Ovis aries: one gene and its partners. The protein of the gene in region 1 interacts with the protein of each later gene in a pairwise test. Links are inferred from orthologs where the notes say so. Each region holds a gene or a part of one and is shown on either strand. Other genes may lie near its edges. The genes, in order: EPAS1, BMAL1 and BMAL2.

Region 1 (6,043 bases):
TCAACATTCAGCCCCGGCTCCCACCCAGCCTTCCCCAGGGCTGTGGAGGGAACCTGCAGCAATGCCCCCAGGAGACGGCTCACCCCACTCAGGTCTTGGAAGGCTTGCTCCTCATACTCCAGCTGTCGCTTCAGCTTCAGCTTGTTGGAGAGGGCAATCATGGCTGGGCTCATCACATCTGGACCCTGAGGCCCGAAGCCCTTGGCAGACCTGCCAAGCCAGAGAGAGTGGGCGTGAGAGAGTCTGGGGCGCCATGTGCCCAGGGTCCTCCCAGGAGGAGGACCCTGACAATGGTGGCTCTGGAGCCCCAGGGAAGAGTCCTGGAGGAGGGGGCGAGGGCCTGGGCTGGAGCTCTCCCTGTCCTCAGTGTGCCCTGCCTGGTAGACACTGATGGCTCAGCTGTCTGCACCTCCCTCCACACGTGTCTATCTGCCTGGCTGGCCCCCGGCGGCCTTTGGTCCTGGCCTGGTTTGTGGCCGCCCAGCTGTGACAGCTGTCTTTGCAAGGGCCGCTTCTGCCCCATCTCCCCTGCTCTGCTTGGACTGCTCCCCACCAGGGACAAGGGAGGATGCCCTGGAAAAGGCAAGGGCCTCAGGGAAGCCTATCCAATGGGCCCTGGGAACTTGAAGCCTATTCCAACCATGGGACAGCCAGGGAAGCTCCCAGGGGTTGGAAGGGCCTTGTGGGGGTGGTGGATGCTGGCAGGTGCTGGGAGGAGGCAGGCCAGGGAGGGCGCTGCTGGACTCTGGCAACCAAAGTCAGGGGGAAGGCAGGGGCATCTTTTCACTTTTCTCAACTAGGCTTCCACACTTGAACTGAGGAAATGTCCCTCCATGTTGTGTGTGTGGGTGGTCTGTGGCTCAGATCATGAACTCTGAATAAAAAAAGGAAGGGGTAGTTCAGGAAGCCACTGGTATGCAGGGCCCAGGACAAGCCACTTCCTTCCCTTTCCCTGTCTGCAGTTCCCTCTTGGTCTCCTCCAGCTCTGATAAAACGTGTCCCACTCAAGGCCTCACGTATCTTAGGGCGAATCCCCTAAAGTTTAGAGAAGGGCCACGTGGCATATTGGACCGCTGTCGAATGGAAACTGGTGATGGGGCAAGGGGCCTTTTGGAGCCCCATACCTGCCCCTAGTGGGCACCTGTCTGTACCCCCTCCCCTATGCAGCCCAGCGCCTCTGTCACTGACCTCTTCTTGAACGTGGCGAGATGGGGTGTGGCAATGGGGGCCCCCAGGGGCACTGTCCCCAAGGCCTCTGCGTGCTGATCTTCGCCAGGCCACTTCATGGGCCCCAGCTGTAATGGCGGGTCAGGGGGCCACTGTGTGCTGGATATGCCTCCCATGGAGGAGAGAGGGGTGTAGGTCTGGCCGCAGCGCTGCAGCAGGGACACCTTGCTGCCACCATCAAAGAAGGTGAAGGACACGCGCCGCTGCTCAGGCTCCGTCTTCTTGCTTTCCAGCTGCTGCTGATACTTGTCCAGGAGGAAGGTGCTGTGAGAGGCCATCGGAGCCAGTGGCTGGAAGATGTTTGACATGGTGCTGAAGCAGTGCTGCGGGGTCGACTGGGGGGTCTCCGGCAGGAGGCTCTCCTCGGGGCAGATGGGGCTAAGCTGGAAGTCCTCTCCGTCCATGGGGATGTAAGGCGCCAGGGTCTCCAAGTCCAGCTCATTAAAGTCAGTCTAGAAGACACAGAGCAGGGGCAAAGCAGCTCAGCAGTGGGTGCTGCCTCAAGGACGCTGCCTCATCTTAGTCCCTCGTTCCCCCACCCCCACCCGAGGCATTCCTCCTGCACAGCCTGGAAGCTGGGGGCCCAAGAGAGGAAAGCACACGTGTGTCCTCAAAGTGTGGAAGGTTTTCTGACACACGTTACCAGCCTTCCACTCAGTCATTCTTCCACACACCCCACTGGTGTCGGCCCCACCTCTTCATTCCTGCCTACTCTGATGAGCACGATGGCTCCTGGGGGCCAAGGGCAGCTTTGTCCTCATCTCCCGCCCGTGCCCAGGGTGTATCTGTAGACGGCTCGTAGGGTAACCGTGGCCCAGTGCTCTCTGTGGGACCTTCATTCAGATCAACAAGGAAGCAGAGGTGGCCCCCATGATCCCAGTATGGGCACCATAGCGAATCCTCACAAGCAGATGCAGCAAAACAAACATTTCAACCCTCCCTGGGGGAAGGTAGCTTATTAATGGTTACAACTGCATGAGATGGTTAAAGAGAAGCAGCAGCCAGTCACACACTTTCTCTTTTCAAGGAATAAATCTTAGACTTCAGAGAAGAAAGTGCAGGGTTGAAGTAGGGAAAGATCGCAGAATAAAGACACAAACTGAGGAGGCAAGGTAGAAATTTGGATGAATAACCCAGAGTAAGACAAATAGGGATTAATACATTTCCTTTGGGTTTTGTGACACACATACCATCCACCCACACCCTAGCCTGTTTACACAGGTTTTACAAGACTGTTTGGCCTTATGTAATATGTTTCTGAAAAGTTATGTGTAAATAAAAATTTGTCAGATGTCATTTTAAAATGCATTTAACATAAGTTATTTCAAAGAATCCTAAAATGAAAATGTATATAAAGGGAATTGTTCCCTGTGCTTAGAAAAGTCTTACACATCTGGACATCTGGGGATGCTTTTTAAATGCAGGGCTCCTTAAAGAAAGGTTCAGTTGTAGTTTTGGCTTTCTGAGCACTAATAAATAGCCAAGTTAGTGGACATAAATATATGGAGAGTTAAAAAGAGCTGCATTTGACACGGGTAAAGCAGAAGGCAGACGTGGGAGAAGCAGGCGACCACAGGCTCCATTTCCTTGCACTCTCACCCAGTTAAGGGACTATGGCGTTGGCCAAGCTTTCCCACTAGTCTTTGCAACAAAGGGCCGAGGCTGCAAGAATGGGCATAAGCCTTCACAGCATCGGCAGGCAGGCCTGGTGCACCATCCCGATCTTCTCCAGGGCTACATACCTGGGTGCCACACTGGTCCTTTGCCTCCGTGTCCATGGCAAAGAGCTTCTCGATTGCTTCAATCTTCAGATTGTCATCTAGAGATGTGTAATAGTCTCCAGGGCTACTGGGCTAGGGGCCAGGAAGGAAGGTGACCAAGTCAAGGCTATGGCACTGCTTTCCCCAGAAGTCCAAGGTGGAAGGAGAAATACATCTCAGAGTCAACTCCATTCCATGGAACAGGATTTGTAGAGAGGCCACTCCATATGAGCTGTGTGAACCTCTCTGAGCTCAGTCTCCTCACCATAAAATGAGGCCGTCTTGAAGAACAAGCCAGACAGAAGCATGGCTGGCCAGGCCCTTTGCGCCCTGCAGGATGGTTACTGTCCTGCATGGAGACTGAGTGCAGGGCTCACAGCCATGAGTGACTTAGCCCCTGTCTTCAAGGAGCTTATTCTGTGGATGGGGGTGGAGAGCCAACAGCAAGCATCTAATATGTGGCAGGCAAGTCTCACGGCCACCTTTGGGGTCTGCAGGAAACCTGAGGAAGAGGAGCGCAGCACTGGGGCCTGGCCTGTCCACTCAGCCATCCGGCCGCGGCCAGAGGAGCGCACCCTCTCCATGACCTCAACCCAAGGCAGGGGGCTCACCGTGGAGCAGCTGCTGCTGCTGCTGGCACTCGGGGTGCTGTTCCCCAGGGCGGCCGCCTGGGGCACGGTGAAGGCGGGTAGGCTCCCGGCCTCGCTGTGGGTGCCGTGGCTTTTCACCTCTCCAGTCCACTGCTGGCTTGGGGGCAGGATGCCCTTGCCATAGGCTGAGGACTCCTCAAAGTTCGGGGTCCCTGTGGAGACAGGGCCTGGCTTGGTTAGCACCCACAACCACTGGGCTCACCCCCAGGACAGAGGAAGCCCGAAGGATGCACAAGAGTTCCGAAAAGGGTCTGCAGCGTGCCTGGGGCTAGGCCCTGGTGCACTGAGGCTTGGTTGGGTTAAAGAGGCCTTCAACCAGGGCTTTGCTTCAATGTACAGACTCTGTTTAATGGGAACATCCTCTTGGAGCCGCTAACTTTCAGAGATTAAATGTATCAGTTGCCTCTCTTCCCTGAAGGACAATCTAGAATGCAGAGGAGAAGGTTATGAGAGCTGGGCAAGTCACCTCGTTATTGCCACAAAATTGGGACGCTGCATGACTCCTTGGCCCAGGTTTGCCCTCTGTGACCCTCTGCAGTCACGACTCCCCTGTGGCTTCTCAAGAACACGTCTAGCAAGGCCAAGCCACTTCAGAGCAAGTACAGGGAGGTACAGCTACTCCTTGAGGGGCCACAGTAAGGCTGGGGGTGATGGTGGTCAGTTGCCACATGGAGAGGAAGGGGCCTTGCAGGTACAGAGCAAGGGTTAAGAGCTGGAAACCCTGCTGGGGCCACCAGGACTCGCATCCCCAGGGGACAGGTAGACGTTTAAAGACGTGCATGTAAGGACTTACTGCTGGGCCCGAATCTGTTTCTCCATCCATGTTTCTGGGATGATTTCTCCCAACATTATTTCAACCTAGAAGCCTTCTGCCTAAACACACAATCTGTCTTTCAAGGTGGAGATCTGCCCACTCTGTGAAAATATGCCCACGGCCTCAGAGCAGATCCCCGAGACCTCTCCTCTCAGACTCCCACTGCCCATGATGCAGAATCAACCGGATCCCACCTGGATCGGTGCCTTGAGAGGTGAGACATGGGGCAGTCCCGAGCACGGTGAGTGCGTGTGCACAGCACATGGTTTGGCCACACTAATGGAGGATTAGCAAGACTCGGAGAAGGTACACGGCAGCTCTGCTTAAGGGAAACCTGTGCCAGGGAGGCCTCCCCCACCCCAAGAGGGTTTGATTGCCCTGGCCTAGCTAAGATGCACCCACCGAAATCCAGAGAAATGATGGTGTCTCCCGCGGTAGGTGCCAGCTGGGCCAGCTCCTCGGGCTCCTCCTTCAGCTTGGTGAACAGGAAGTTGCTCTTCTCAGACACAGCCACCTTGCCACTGTTATCAAAGATGCTGTTCATGGTCAGCAGGTGTGGCTTAAACGGTGACTCTGTCTGGTCCATGGAGAACACCACGTCGTTCTTCTCAATTTCACTGTTGAGATGAGAGGGAGCTTCAGACCCTCCACATTTTCCATCAAAACCCTTTTGCTCTCCCAGACACACTGAAGCCCTGACAGCTAAGCCTCTCAGATAAAACCATGGATATGGACAGTGTGTTAGCATTTTGTAAAGAACTGCACGATGGTAGTTTGGAGTCCTGGAGCCTAGCGATGCCAAGAGAGCCTCACAATATGTATGTGTCTTGGATGCTGTTTTTATATTGTACATGGACTGAGTGGTGTGCACAGACATGAAGGCTTCTGCTTTTGTTTCACCCCAGCACTGCCTTTCTCCAGCTGTCTTCCCAAGTTCTACATAGCTAGGGTGTTACGTCTGCTCCCCAAAAGTATGAGCAGTTCTCTTCCCTTGATCCTCATTCAGAAAACAGGTTAGGCTTCATCTGTGTTCTAGTTGCCTCCCTCACATAGGGTGGAGGCGTGACAGATGACAGACGAGAGGCAAGGGGCAGAAAAAGTGCCATCAAAGGGAAATCCCAATGTCCCATTGTTCCCAGGATGCCCACCGCCAAGGACTCTAAGGTGTGGTGCCCGGGTTCTGAGGAGCCTGGTGTCCCTGGGTCGCACTGTCAGTCTCAGGAACACCCCAGCCCCAGCCTTGTGGCCCCCAGCCCTCACACACTCACCTCAGGACATAGTTCACACACATGATGCACTGGGGCTGCAGGTTGCGAGGGTTGTAGATCACCGTCCCCTGTGTCTCCAGCCACACGTAGCCCCCATGCTTGGCAAGCATCCGGTACTGGCCGCTCACCACCTGACCCTTGGTGCACACTAGGGGAGGAGAAACGGGGCCTGAGGTCAGGGAGGCAAGGGCAGTGTATGGGAAAAGATGCGGGGGGAAAGGGCGCTGAGAGCGTCTTGCCCAACACTTCATGTTAAACGTGGGGAAGGCGGTCCAGAGAGGTTAGCTGACGTCCCTAGGCTGGCTGTAAGGGAGCGGCCATGGC
Region 2 (6,043 bases), on another chromosome or scaffold:
GACCCTCAGTTTATCACGTTTTGTGTATTGATTTGCAGCTGGACTTCCAGTTAAAACAGATATAACCCCTGGGCCATCTCGATTATGTTCTGGAGCACGGCGTTCTTTCTTCTGTAGGATGAAGTGTAACAGGCCTTCAGTAAAAGTGGAAGACAAGGATTTCCCCTCCACCTGCTCCAAGAAAAAAGGTAACCACTTAAGAGTTCATTAAATCCTTTCACGGGTGAGGCTGGCCTTTCCACAGAGGGGCTCTCAGTAGGGTGTGGGCTCAGAGCAGGTGGGTCACAGGTTTGCAGCCAGGACCTCTGTGGCCCTGCTTCGGTGAGGGCAGCTGGGGAGCCACAGGGAGGCGGGAAGCCCTGACAGATTCGTGGAAAGTCTTCCTCTGTTTCAATTCTGTTCATTTTCGTGTGGCTCGGGAAGAGTATTCTCAGTCACAGTTCCCTGTGTCCCCAGCGCCCGCCAGAGTTACCCTAGGTTCACCAGTGCCTACAGGCGGCTAGGAGCAGCGGACATGCCATTTCTCTTCCACGGTGAAGTGTTTCTTCTCACCTTGCTGCCCCCTCCCGCTCTGAACTCTCCTCTGAGTTCTTTCTGTTGGTTCCTTTCCAGCCCTCTTAAGAGGAGTAGATACATACAACAGTCCATAGGTAATGTCACCCACCCATGTGGCTTTCAATGACATTTATATGCCAGTAATCTCCAGGTTCATATTTCTAGCCCACACTGCTCTTTTGAACTCCAGATTTGTAAACTAACTGCTTATTTAATCTACCTGCTTGGACATCTCTAGAGCATCTCATAGGTGATAGGCATAGAAGTAACCACCCAGGCTTCCTCTGGAATGTTACGGCAGCTCCTCGCATCGAGCTGTGTGTGCTGAGAGCCTGGGAGACACCGTCTCCCCGTTTCCCTCCGCCCTGGCCTAGGGTTCTTGCTGCTATGAGTCACTCCTGAAGAAGTGTATTTGTTACTGCCATTACTCGATCGAGGCTGTCCTGGGTCTCATAAGTCTGTTGAAGTACTTTCCTCACGCTTTCCAGCCTTTCCCATGGCCAGAGTGACCTTTCTAAAAGCAAATCTTTGTATCTGTCCCCTGTTTCAAACCCTTCATTGGTTCCCATTGCTCTTGAAGAAAAGTTTAAAATCTTTAATGTGACCCTGTAGCGCTCTCCCTTGACACTCCTCCATAGGTTTGAGCCGTGCAGACCTCCGTTTGATGCCTCCAACCCCTTTCCACTCAGTATCTGCACACGTGGTGTCACCTCTGAAGGAAGTGCCTCCCTCGCCACCAGCTCCCCTCCCTGGCTCTCTGCAAACCCCCCTTCAGAGTGGACCCCGATGTCTGTCGCTCAGTCCCTCAGACTGCCTTCTGTCTGCATGGCACACCCTGCAGGTTTTCCTTGTGACACTTGCTCCCATTGCAGTTATGGAGTCATTTGTGGGTTATTTGTTTGAAGTACCTCCCCCCCATTAGACTAAATTCCACAGAGGCGTGCCTGACTTGTTGTCCACTCTTTCCCAGTAACTAGCACAGACCCGATGCTTGGTAAACATTCCATAAGAATGTGTCTACTGGGACTTTCCTGGCAGTCCTCCACGGCAAGGGGGGCACAGGTTTGAGCCCTGGTTGGGGAACTAAGGTCCTGCGAGCTGCGACACAAGGCAGCCCGCCCCCGCCAACAACAAAAAAAAATATGTGTACTGTTGAAATTCACGGATGCTTCACGCTTAACGTGTCCCACACTGAAATCTTTCTCCCTCTCCTCTAAAACACACTCTGTATTCTCTCCCCTGAGTCAACAAATTGTACCTGTAACCACTCAATCCGAAAAAGTTGGACTCATCTGTGTTTTCTTTTTTCATCCCAAATATTTGATACTCAGACCAGATCCCAAAAGTTCAGCCCAGAAATTCCCCTGCGTCCTTTCTGCCTCCCCCTTATCTCCACAGCACTGCCATTGTGAGTCCCTGGCATCTCTCGCTGATTACTATCCTCCTCCTGGCTTTTACTGTCTTCCAGTCCCCCACCGCCCCCCGTCATTAAAGCATCCAAATCACGATGTGATTTTGCTGTTTCCCCACTGTAAGTGCCCTTGGAAACTCTCCATTTCCAGTCTGGAAAAGGTTAACACCTTTGTGAGCAAATGATCCAAGGCCCCAACAGTATGCTGCCAACCTACCTTCCCAGCACTTACCCCCAGCACCTCCCTTTTCACTTCACCTGCATGGAGCACTGTGCTGTTTGCTGTACAGGATGCCCCTCTGGGTCTTTGTACCTTCTCAGCCTTTACACATTCTGGTCCTTTAGCCGGTGCCCATCCCTCCCAGCTCTCCTCCTACACAGATCTTCTGGGCAGCCTTCCTCTGCCAGGGGGATTGTGCTGCTCCTTCCTTGGTGTACGTGATGCCCATTTGGTGTCATCATTGCTACGAAACACACATGACACTGGATCATGCCTGATCTTTCTGTCTTTCTCTTTCACTTGATGCTATCTTCTGGACAGTAGACTTTGATTTTTATATTTTCAGTCCCTCCCTACATCTCAATGCACGATAGGCTGCCTGTGCTTCCAGGCCCCAAAGCCCCACTGACATCGGACTTTGCTTTCTAGCAGATCGAAAAAGCTTCTGCACAATCCACAGCACAGGCTATTTGAAAAGCTGGCCGCCCACAAAGATGGGGCTGGATGAAGACAACGAACCAGACAATGAGGGGTGTAATCTTAGCTGCCTTGTCGCCATCGGACGGCTGCACTCTCACATGGTTCCACAACCGGCAAATGGGGAAATCAGGGTGAAATCAATGGAATATGTCTCCCGGCACGCGATAGATGGGAAGTTTGTTTTTGTAGACCAGAGGTAAGAGTCTGCACGTTACCCTTGGACTGTCTTGGCAGCAGATTTTCAACCTTGAGTAAAGCAGAGCAGACTGGGCCATTGGCTGCCTTTCTTAAGGATAGAGAGGAGGAAGTGACGGGTGGATCTGCTGAAAAATGAGACCTAGTGGGTTATCATCATAAATACAGAAATTTTCTCCATGTCATTCTTGGGCAGGTAGAGACAGTGAAGTGGGGTGGCTTGATGTCCGTGGCTAAGAGAGAAATAATAGGCATAACATGCTATCTGAATCTATGGAGTGTTCCATTAATTACTGTAATGTGAGTTCTGGGATGTGGGACTTTGAAAAGATTATCTGGTCTTGAGCTATCAATACAGTAGTCATTGGCTATAGTAACCCCATATATTTAATCAATTAAAGTTAAAATGTGAATTTAAATTCCCCCAGCTCACTAACCACATTTCAAGTATCAGTAGTCACATGTGGCTTCCCTGGTGGCTCAGCTATAAAGAATCTGCCTGCCAGGGCAGGAGATGCAGGTTCAATCCATGGGTCAGGAGGATCCCCTGGAGAGGGGAATGGCACCCCACTCCAGTATTCTTGCCTGAGAAATCCCATAGACGGAGGAGCCTGGTAGGCTGCAGTCCATGGGATCACAAAGGATTGGATACAACTTAGCGACTAAACAGCAGCAACAGTGGCTAATGGTACCTGAACAGAACATTTCTGTCTTCACAAAAAGTTCTGCTGGACAACACTGATCTAGTCTGGTCTCATTCTTTATGGCTGATGAACAGAGGCTCAGCCTGAAGACCAGCCCCCTCCGAGATTCGTAACTCATTGGCCGTAGACCTGGGCTAAGAACCCAAATTTCCACTGCTCTCTGCTGCTTCCTTACAAGTATCCACAGGCTAGCAATTTTTCTGGCCACTGGAAATAGCCAGTCACTAAATACTAGAAAAGGAGGCAGCCGCTTCTCAAGGTCCCTGTGGGCCCCACGACTGGGGCTTCTGGTCACTCTGATAAAAAGCAGGCAGTAAATTGGAGAAGTTTTGACCTGGAGTTTAGAGTCCTATCACTTTTTTTTAATCTAAAAGTTACTACTTTTAAACCTAAAATTTGATGTCTTGTGCTAACAGCCCCTTTGAAAGTCTTTGCTTTCTCTCTCTGTTTTTATAACCCCGATTAAAGTCAGCTTCATGAGAAAGAACAAAACCCATGTAATAAGCCCTCTGAACCCCCCCAGCTTTGACCTTGTTTTCATTGGCTGTAGCAGGAGTCATCCACTGCAGAGATCTGTTAATTGTCTGAATGTTATTTTATTTAAAAAAAAATTTTTTTTCTCCCTTTTAGGGCAACAGCTATTTTGGCATATCTACCACAAGAACTTCTAGGCACGTCGTGTTATGAGTATTTCCACCAAGATGACATAGGACATCTCGCAGAATGTCATAGGCAAGGTTAGCTGCTGGGCTGTACACCAGTTCTGAAGTTTCAAGTGTCCTCCTTCTAGACATGTCCATGGACCCTTGCAGAGAAATCTGCCCCTGTGAGGTGGGAGTCAGCCAGCCCAGGGACCTGCAGGCCAGAATGTCTGGGAGGAGAGGGTGCTGCTCCTTCCCCCAGGCCTCATCTACCCCCTTCCAGATAACCGCCCACCCCGACTGCCTAGTAGATCTCTACATGGGCTGGAGCAATTTCTGGAAGGCACCTCTGGTTCAGAGGGTTTCCCTGGACTATGTAAAGATTTAGTGTGGCCCAAGCGGATCTAATTTCCTACAAATCCCTGCACCGCCTCCTGCATTTTCCTCTTGGTTAATGACGTGGCCACGTACATAGCCTCCTGAGACAGCAGCCAACATTGACTCCCTTCTTTACTCTTTCCTCCGTCGGAACTGTTCATTCATCTCAGCCATGCATCTCCAAGGAGGCCCCTTTCTGCCAAGCCCCTGATGCAGCCCTGGTACCCACCTGATAATTGTGATGGACTTGCCTCTGCCCCGCCAGTCCATCTTCTATTGCTGTCCCGCTTATGCTCTGACAGACTGAGCCTGACAGTCACATCTGTGCTCAAAACCCCCTGCGCAGTCACCTTTGACAGATGCTCAAGACCCTCCACGTCCTGGCCCTGAGCCACCTCCCCAGCTTCACCTCCCGACCCAGTCCCTGTCTGCAGAGGCCTTGTCCTCCAGACGCACTGACATCTCACTGTTCCCACTCCCACCCCAGGCCCTGCCACTCCTCGGGTAGCACTGGGTTCTTCCCTCCTTCCTTTTGGCAAACTTGTATTCACCCCTGAAGGCTCTGATCTCCTCTGCGTAGCTGTCCCTCATTCCTCTCCTGAGGGTGCAAGTCATATCCTGTCTCCTCTTTTATCTCCAGTACTTGGCACATGAAGCATACTTGCTACATGTTTGTTACATGAAAGAATGAGGTTTCCATGGGTGAGATGCCATCTGAATCCGGATGTCCTCAGGCTTTATGATGGGGAGATTACATGGTCCCTGTGGACTGAGCCGCCTTGTGTGGCATTCACTTCATAGATGAATCCAGCTAGATGTCTAGAATGCACTGTTATTTCCTTTATTTCATACACTCTGAATAGTGACAGGTTCACAACCCAACTGGAAGGCTCAGAAATCAGGCCCTCAGAAACACCCTCTTCTCTGAAGTGCCACCTCCCATGGCTTATTAAAGAGGGGATGGCCTTGAAGCCTGAGCGCATTTAGGATTTGGTTATTTTAATGCATTGTTCTGAGGAAACAGCAATGTTCCTGGTTTCTTTATATTTTCAGTTTTACAGACAAGAGAAAAGATTACCACTAATTGCTACAAGTTTAAAATCAAAGATGGTTCTTTCATCACACTGCGGAGTCGGTGGTTCAGTTTCATGAACCCTTGGACCAAGGAAGTAGAATACATTGTCTCCACGAACACCGTTGTTTTGTAAGTGTCTCTCCTATTTCAGAAGCTCCCTTGCTTCAAGGAGGAATGCCTTGGGCCCCTTACCTGGGAAAGGCGGTACAGGCAACAGCCAGTATCCCATCCTTTACTGTCATCTTGCTAATATCCTGTGAAGCCTCAGGACTGGCAGAAGCCAGAAGGTGGCTAACAAAGGACACGCTTCAGTACTCAGAACTCTCAGGCCCCCAGCTGCTGGAAAGGCTCTCGGAGACAGCAGCCTTTCCTTCCTGACAAAGC
Region 3 (6,628 bases), about 110 Mb from region 1:
TATTCCACACTCCCTCCTCAAATAAGTTCAATTTTAGACATCAGCACGTCGCAGAAATGGCACCTCCTCCAGAGGTCTATAGGCTTCCCTACAGAAGAATCCACCTGCAGTGCAGGAGACTTGGGTTCGATCCCTGGGTTGGGAAAATCCCCTGGAGGAAGAAATGGCAATCCACTCCAGTATTCTTGCCTGGAGAATTCCATGGACAGAGGAGCCTGGCTGGCTACACTCCATGGTCTCACATAGAATTGGACATGACTGAGCAACTAACAGGTTCACTTTCACTTTCCCAGAGGTCTAGGAGGCATGGCAGACAAGGATAAAAGTTCTGGAGGCCAGTCTGTTTGGGTTCTGATCCTGGTTTAGCTACTTACTATGGAAACTTTACCTTGGGGAAGGCACTTAAAATCTCTGTGTCTCAATTTCTTCATGAGAAATATGCAACAGGGACTTCCTTGGCAGTCCAAGGGTTACGCACTCCACGCCTCCAATGCAAGGGGTACAGGTTCCATCCCAGGTTGGGAAACTAAGATCCCACATGCCATGCTGTGCAGCCAAAAAAAGAAATACGTACATAACCATGCATAAAATAGATGGCCGGTGGGAATTTGCTGTATGACTCAGGGAGATCAATTACGGCGCTCGGTGACAACCTAGAGGGGTGGGATGAGGTGGGAGGTGGGAGGAAGGTTTAAGAGGGAGGAAGTGTATGTATACCTATAGCTGATGCATGTTGACGTACGGAAGAAACAACACAATATTGTAAAGCAATTATCCTCCGATTAAAAATAATTTTTAAAAAGGAAACATGAAACAATAATAGTACTACTTTATAGATTTGCTGAAGATTTGTGAATTATACCATGTAAAGCATTTAGACAACTAGCACATAGTAAATATTAAGAATTATTAACTATTTAGAAGAACCAAAAGGTGAGAATCATCCATGCTAAGCTTTTGAAATGGGGCAAAGAGGGAACAGAAACACCCATGATGACTATAAGTAAATCGGAGTCGTGGGAAACCATTCAGTTGCGATGCAGAATGTAATCAGAGTGATATAAGCACCTAACAATGCTACCCTGGTGATGACTATTCCAGAAAAGGCCAACCTTTCATAGGCATTATAACCTAATCCAGGGATGGGCAAGAGCAAGAAAAAGCAGCTCATCAGAATTTGTTCTACACTGAAACAGAAAATTCCCCTAACTTGGTCCAGGACTTATCCTCAAGAATAAGAAGAATACAGAGTTCAGCGTTTTCAACATCAGCAAGTTTCTCCAAAAGGCACAGAAACAATTTTGATGAGCTATACCCGCATCACTGTTACACAGGCAAATACAATTCTTGCAGGTCATGAGTACACAGAAAACATGCTGTAGACTATCATCATGATCTGTACTAACCAGGCATGACTTGATATGTCAGATTCGATACAGAACCTACAAAAGATATCATGGTTCCTCACCTCTAACGTATCAACAAAATAAGACACCCTCAGTTAACTCTGAGAAAGAGAATTCATCAGTGTTCACAGAAGTATTTATGTATCTTTTCACCCAGTGGTGATTATTCTAGAAAGAAGAAAGACCCTTTAAAGGGGATGAGAGGAGAAGCACTGACTTTGCAATAAGAAAATGCTAAGGCCCTACAAACTGAAACACAGTATGAGTTTAAAAAGTAATAAAACCCAACACACCATTAATGACTTTAATATTATTTATGTATTAACATACCATAGTTACAATGATGATCAGAATCCAAAGCTGCCTAACAAAAAATTACTTAAAACCTCTTGATAAAGAATTTGTCCTAGATGTCTTCTGAAAGTTGAGGTGTGAATCCGAATGTTCTTCTAAGATCAGGCTGCATGGTTTGTGACCCACATGTCCCAGAAGTAGCAATGGTTACTGCTGAAAGGAACTGATAGGCCAAAAGTGCTAGTTGAACTCAAGTTGAAAGGTAAAGAAAAGAGAATTGTCTTAAGCCACTAGCCTCAGGATGCATGGGAAATTGGGTTTGGTCTCTCTTTTCTAGGTCAGTGTTGTTGCCTGGATGGCTCATTAGAGAAGAGATGGCCTCCCTAGAAGTCCATATTGTTGTCTCCACAGTAGTGTGAGCATGGCCTACCTTTGGGTACCATGTAAGTCAGAGAGGAAATCCAATTCTCTACCCAGGAGGTTGAGGAGAGAAATAAACATAAAGCTGGCAACTGTGTTCAATTTTTCAATCAAAACTGTTTTCTAGATTTTGACAAAACAATTACTAATCGTCACAATCTTCTATTCATTTTAAACATATATTGATCTCTGTTCTGTAAAGTGTTCAAGTCTGCCCATCGTATACTGATCTCTTTTTTACAATCTGTCTATAAAATACCTATACTTTTGTTACCATCCAGGCTCAACGACAATCTCTTCTCCCTCTCTTCTCCTCTCCTAAGAAGAAAAGATGAAGAGGTATTTTGATGTACCTAAGTGTTTCTGCCTTTGAGTAACTTCTATGCCAGAGATCCTCTGCACTGAGTCTGAATCAACAAACATCTTCTGATGTTATCACACACAGGCGTTTGCAGGAGTGCTCTTTTAGGAATGTGTTCAGACGTGCATGGCAATGGAGTCCTTTGGGTTTATAAACCTTCCCTGCTTGTCTTGGAAGGCAAGGCTGATAGTTCTGTTCAGTCCTGCACCCTGGGGCTGCATAGGAAGGGTCTGCAAGGAGGCCTGGAGCACATGTCCATAAGAGGAGGACATCAGTGGCCATTACACTGGACAGTGGATGGAAGTCCAGAAACCTGCTTCCCAGCAGGCTGCAGCAGGAATAAATGAGACAGCACCAGTGACGGTTTTAAGAAGAAGCAGTGTGAAATGGATTTAAAGATAGAAGCAGCTACTTTTTTTCAGAGAAGAGAGGATGGGCGAAAGTAGTGGCCCAGATGCACCTGGAGGGAAAGCTAAGACCATATAACTAATCCTCTGGCAGGAACCAGGATCCCTGATGTTCTTTCTGGTCAGAAATATGCTGCAAGTAACATTTCAGGGTGATACAACTGGTCTCTTGCTGGCCAGGGACCAAAAAGAAGGTGCTCGGATCTTTCCTTCTGGAGCCTGTAACTCAGGTTTTCCTCATTTGCTGTCCTGCCGCATCACAGGTGGGAGGGCAGCGCTGGGTGACATTAACAAGGCAAGGACAGGTCAGTTCTTCCGTTCCCACTTTTCCCAGCCAGACCAGCACCAGTTCTTCCAAGCACATCACTGATGATTTTCCATATACACGTCTAATCTCTGTTGTCGATGACCCTCTTTGCTGCCTCCACAAGTTATCTATCCTTCAATACTAAACTTGACCCCTTCTCTGAAAGCCAACTCCCCCACAAACTAGATATAATTCTTCCCAAATGTAGGTGGAGAGGCTCACTCCTAGCAGTTAAACCATAGATTGTGCTAGGTTCTGTCTTTACAACACATATTTTGGCCGTTTTTCATCTCTCCTTTTATAAGCTCTTTAATCCTGCTTGTTTCATCCGTTTCTTTCTCTCTGTTTGCCTAGAACAGCAATATGCTTTATGAACAAACCAGCCCTGTCAGCACCTCAAACCAACAGTCACTTACAATCAAAAAGCTTGGTTAGGTATTTAATAAGTGCAAGGAGGTGAAGACTGTAAAGATGAGCCAGGTCCTACCCTGCTCTCTTAGGCATGTGCAACCCAAGGATGGAGCTAAGATACGTACCTAAACAAGGCATGGCAAGTGGGCACAGGGTTCTCGTAGGCACGCCAAAAACCACAGTGAGGAAATAGAAGGGAAGAATCATTTCCATCAGCGGGTAGGAGAAGTTCTGGGAAGGGTTCATGAGGCGAAGGAAACTCATCTGTTGAAGGTCAGATTTCACTAGCTTGGAATCATCTCATTTAATTGTCACATGACTCTTCAAGTTAGGTCATTTTTTACCGCCATGTTATAGACGAGGAAATTGGGGCTCAGAGAAGTTAAATAATTTGGTCAAGGTCACAGAGCTAGTATATTAACTGACACCCACACTCCCACTCCTGGAGTAGGCAATGGAAACCCACTCCAGTGTTCTTGCCTGGAAAATTCTACGGACAGAAGAGTCTGGTGGACTACAGTCCATGGGGTTGCAGAGTTGGACACGTCTGAGCACGCACACACACGTACTCCCACTGGGTCCAAAGTTCATGCATTTTCCTGCACCAGCTCTTCTGTTCCAGGGGTAGAAGAAACACAGTGACATCTGAGCTCGGCCTTCAAAACTACAGGAGAGCCCCTACAGGCCCATCTGGAGGGAGGACAGGGCAGTCTAGGAGCAGCCAACGGCCTGAGGAGAGGCCTGGACCATACATGGGAAGGCAGACTCCCTCACATAACTATGTAGGACATGTAAAGGAGAAGTACTGGAGAGGTGCCGAGAAAGCAAGCCAGTGGATGGTTCTCCACTTCGCCTGCGCTATCCTTGGAACAGAGGGCAAAGTGTATTTCTTATCTATGTAAAAAAATAAATGGGACTTCCCTTGCAGTCCAGCGGTTAAGACTCTGGGCTTCCACTGTAGGGGGCCTGAATTCAGTCCCTCATCCAGGAACAAAGATCCCACATGCTGTGCAGTAGGGCCAATAAATAAATAAATAAAATTAATTTTAAAATAACATTTAAGAAATTCAATTAAATATTGTAAGTAAAACATTTTGAATGTATTGGGAATTGCTGTTTTACGGCAATCATCTTGACCCTCAACTGTAAATCTCCTGTAATGCAAACCTGGGCTTCCCTTGTGGCTCAGCTGGTAAAGAATCTGCCTACAATGTAGGAGACCTGGGTTGGGAAGATCCCGTGGTCTAGGAAAGGCTAGGAATGGCTCCCCACTCCAGTACTCTGGCCTGGAGAATTCCATGGACTGTATAGTCCACGGGGTCGCAAAGAGTCGGACAGGACCGAGCAACCTTCACTTCCATGTCACCATAATGCAAACCAGGTTGAGCGGAAGAAGGATTCTCTCTGTGCTTCCTTTTCCTTCAGTCTTCTTTGTTTCGCTCTTTCGGTAAAGATACTATCTAGAGATTTAAATCATAAGATTAAAGAGAAACGAAATCCCAGAAATTTACTGAGATAAATGACAAATTTCCAATCATCCCCACCAACAACTAAGTATTTTCAAATGAGAATTTTAATATTATACATCTAGACTGATTTAAATATGTTAATTAGTTTCAAAGTATTTTAAGTTTAAAAACTGGGGGCTGAGTAGATGAGACACTTGCCTCTTGCTGGCTCACTGAGACCCTGGTGGTGCTGATGCTGACTAACCACCTGGATGCCAGGCACCGAGGTTTTCAGCCCAAGGCAACTGAAATTGGGGCTACTGAATGACATCTTATTATCTTGTTTATGATATCCTGAACATTATGCAAAGGAAGAGATTTCAAAAGGATGCTCTAATTAATGTTCACCACACAGAAAGAGATCATGCTTTTTCTTTTTCTTTTTTTTTGTCTGTGCTGGTGGTTCTTTGTTGTTTTGTCTGGGCCTTTTCTAGTTGTGGAGCACGGGAGCTACTCTTCATTGTGATGTGCGAGCTTCTCACTGTGGAAACTTCCCCTGTTGCAGAGCGCAGGCTCTAGGGTGCACAGGCTTCAGCAGTTGTGGCTTGTGAGCCCGAGAGCTCAGGCTCAGTAGCTGTGGCTCACAGGCTTTAACTGCTCTGCGGCAAGTGGAATCTTCTCAGACCAGGGATTGAACCCATGTCTCCTGCATTGGCAGGCGGTTTCTTATCCACTGTACCATGAGGGAAGTCCAGATCATGCTTTTCAGAATCAAGAAGTCTTTCCACAAGGAAAAAAGTATACTGAAATCACTGTTTACTAATATTTTGGCTTTCCCATGTATTTTAAACATTAGATTTCTTTTTTCCCTGGAGTCAAATTCTAATGCGTGGCAGTCCCTACCCTTCCTCCTCCCCTGCGTCTCTCCTCACCTCCATCCCTCCTCAGCCCTCCTCCAACCCGCCACCGCCACTGCCACCGCCACCGGGGATCAGCTCCTCTCCACTCCCCTTCTCCACCCTCTCCATCCTCTGTCTTCAACGTCTCTCTGCAGCTCTTTCCCTCTCTCCTCCTCTCTCTTTACTCCAACCCTTCTCTCACTCCTCCACCTTTCTCTCTTTTCCTCTCGCTTTCCTCCCCCTAAAACATGTCAAAAGTCATTTTTAGCCCATCTTGGTTTATCTTGAGTGACGCACATCAGACTGAAGGACTCGGACAAGAAGAGTAGTTTATGCACAGTGGACCAGGACGTGACTTTCAATATCTGAGTCACAAAAATGAATTTAAGCCACTACATAATTGCAGAACTACCCCTCATAAGAGCTGGGTATGATAACATCCCAGGTGAAAACAGGGGATGGTAAAAAGTGGGGGAAGGGAAGGTGAGACAGTTGCCCCTTGGATGCCTAAACCCAAGACGAAATCTGGCAATCAGCCCTGGTACATGTGCTGCTCTCCTGAGAATGCCTGCTCCCTAACTCCAAAGATTCTGGAATCATTTACCAGAAGGTGCCAGCCAGTCACTTGGCATGGCAGCTTGCTTAATCTTGTTGTTTACCATCAACCCATCAAAA

The links.
Region 2: the proteins of EPAS1 (region 1) and BMAL1 interact in binary tests that used the Homo sapiens proteins (3 or more experiments, as listed by UniProt). The link is inferred for Ovis aries from reciprocal best matches to the Homo sapiens genes EPAS1 and BMAL1.
Region 3: the proteins of EPAS1 (region 1) and BMAL2 interact in binary tests that used the Homo sapiens proteins (3 or more experiments, as listed by UniProt). The link is inferred for Ovis aries from reciprocal best matches to the Homo sapiens genes EPAS1 and BMAL2.

The regions. Positions count from the first base shown.
Region 1 is NC_056056.1:77,966,957-77,972,999, forward strand, and holds part of EPAS1 (endothelial PAS domain-containing protein 1), read right to left. Parts: intron 5,868-6,043; coding exon 5,720-5,867; intron 5,069-5,719; coding exon 4,854-5,068; intron 3,790-4,853; coding exon 3,599-3,789; intron 3,081-3,598; coding exon 2,970-3,080; intron 1,680-2,969; coding exon 1,189-1,679; intron 211-1,188; coding exon 84-210; intron 1-83.
Region 2 is NC_056068.1:39,064,186-39,070,228, reverse strand, and holds part of BMAL1 (basic helix-loop-helix ARNT-like protein 1), read left to right. Parts: intron 1-38; coding exon 39-188; intron 189-2,615; coding exon 2,616-2,862; intron 2,863-4,195; coding exon 4,196-4,302; intron 4,303-5,637; coding exon 5,638-5,788; intron 5,789-6,043. UniProt on the Homo sapiens protein: Transcriptional activator which forms a core component of the circadian clock.
Region 3 is NC_056056.1:188,137,633-188,144,260, forward strand, and holds the start of BMAL2 (basic helix-loop-helix ARNT-like protein 2), read right to left. Parts: upstream 4,467-6,628; 5' UTR 3,871-4,466; coding exon 3,732-3,870; intron 1-3,731. UniProt on the Homo sapiens protein: Transcriptional activator which forms a core component of the circadian clock.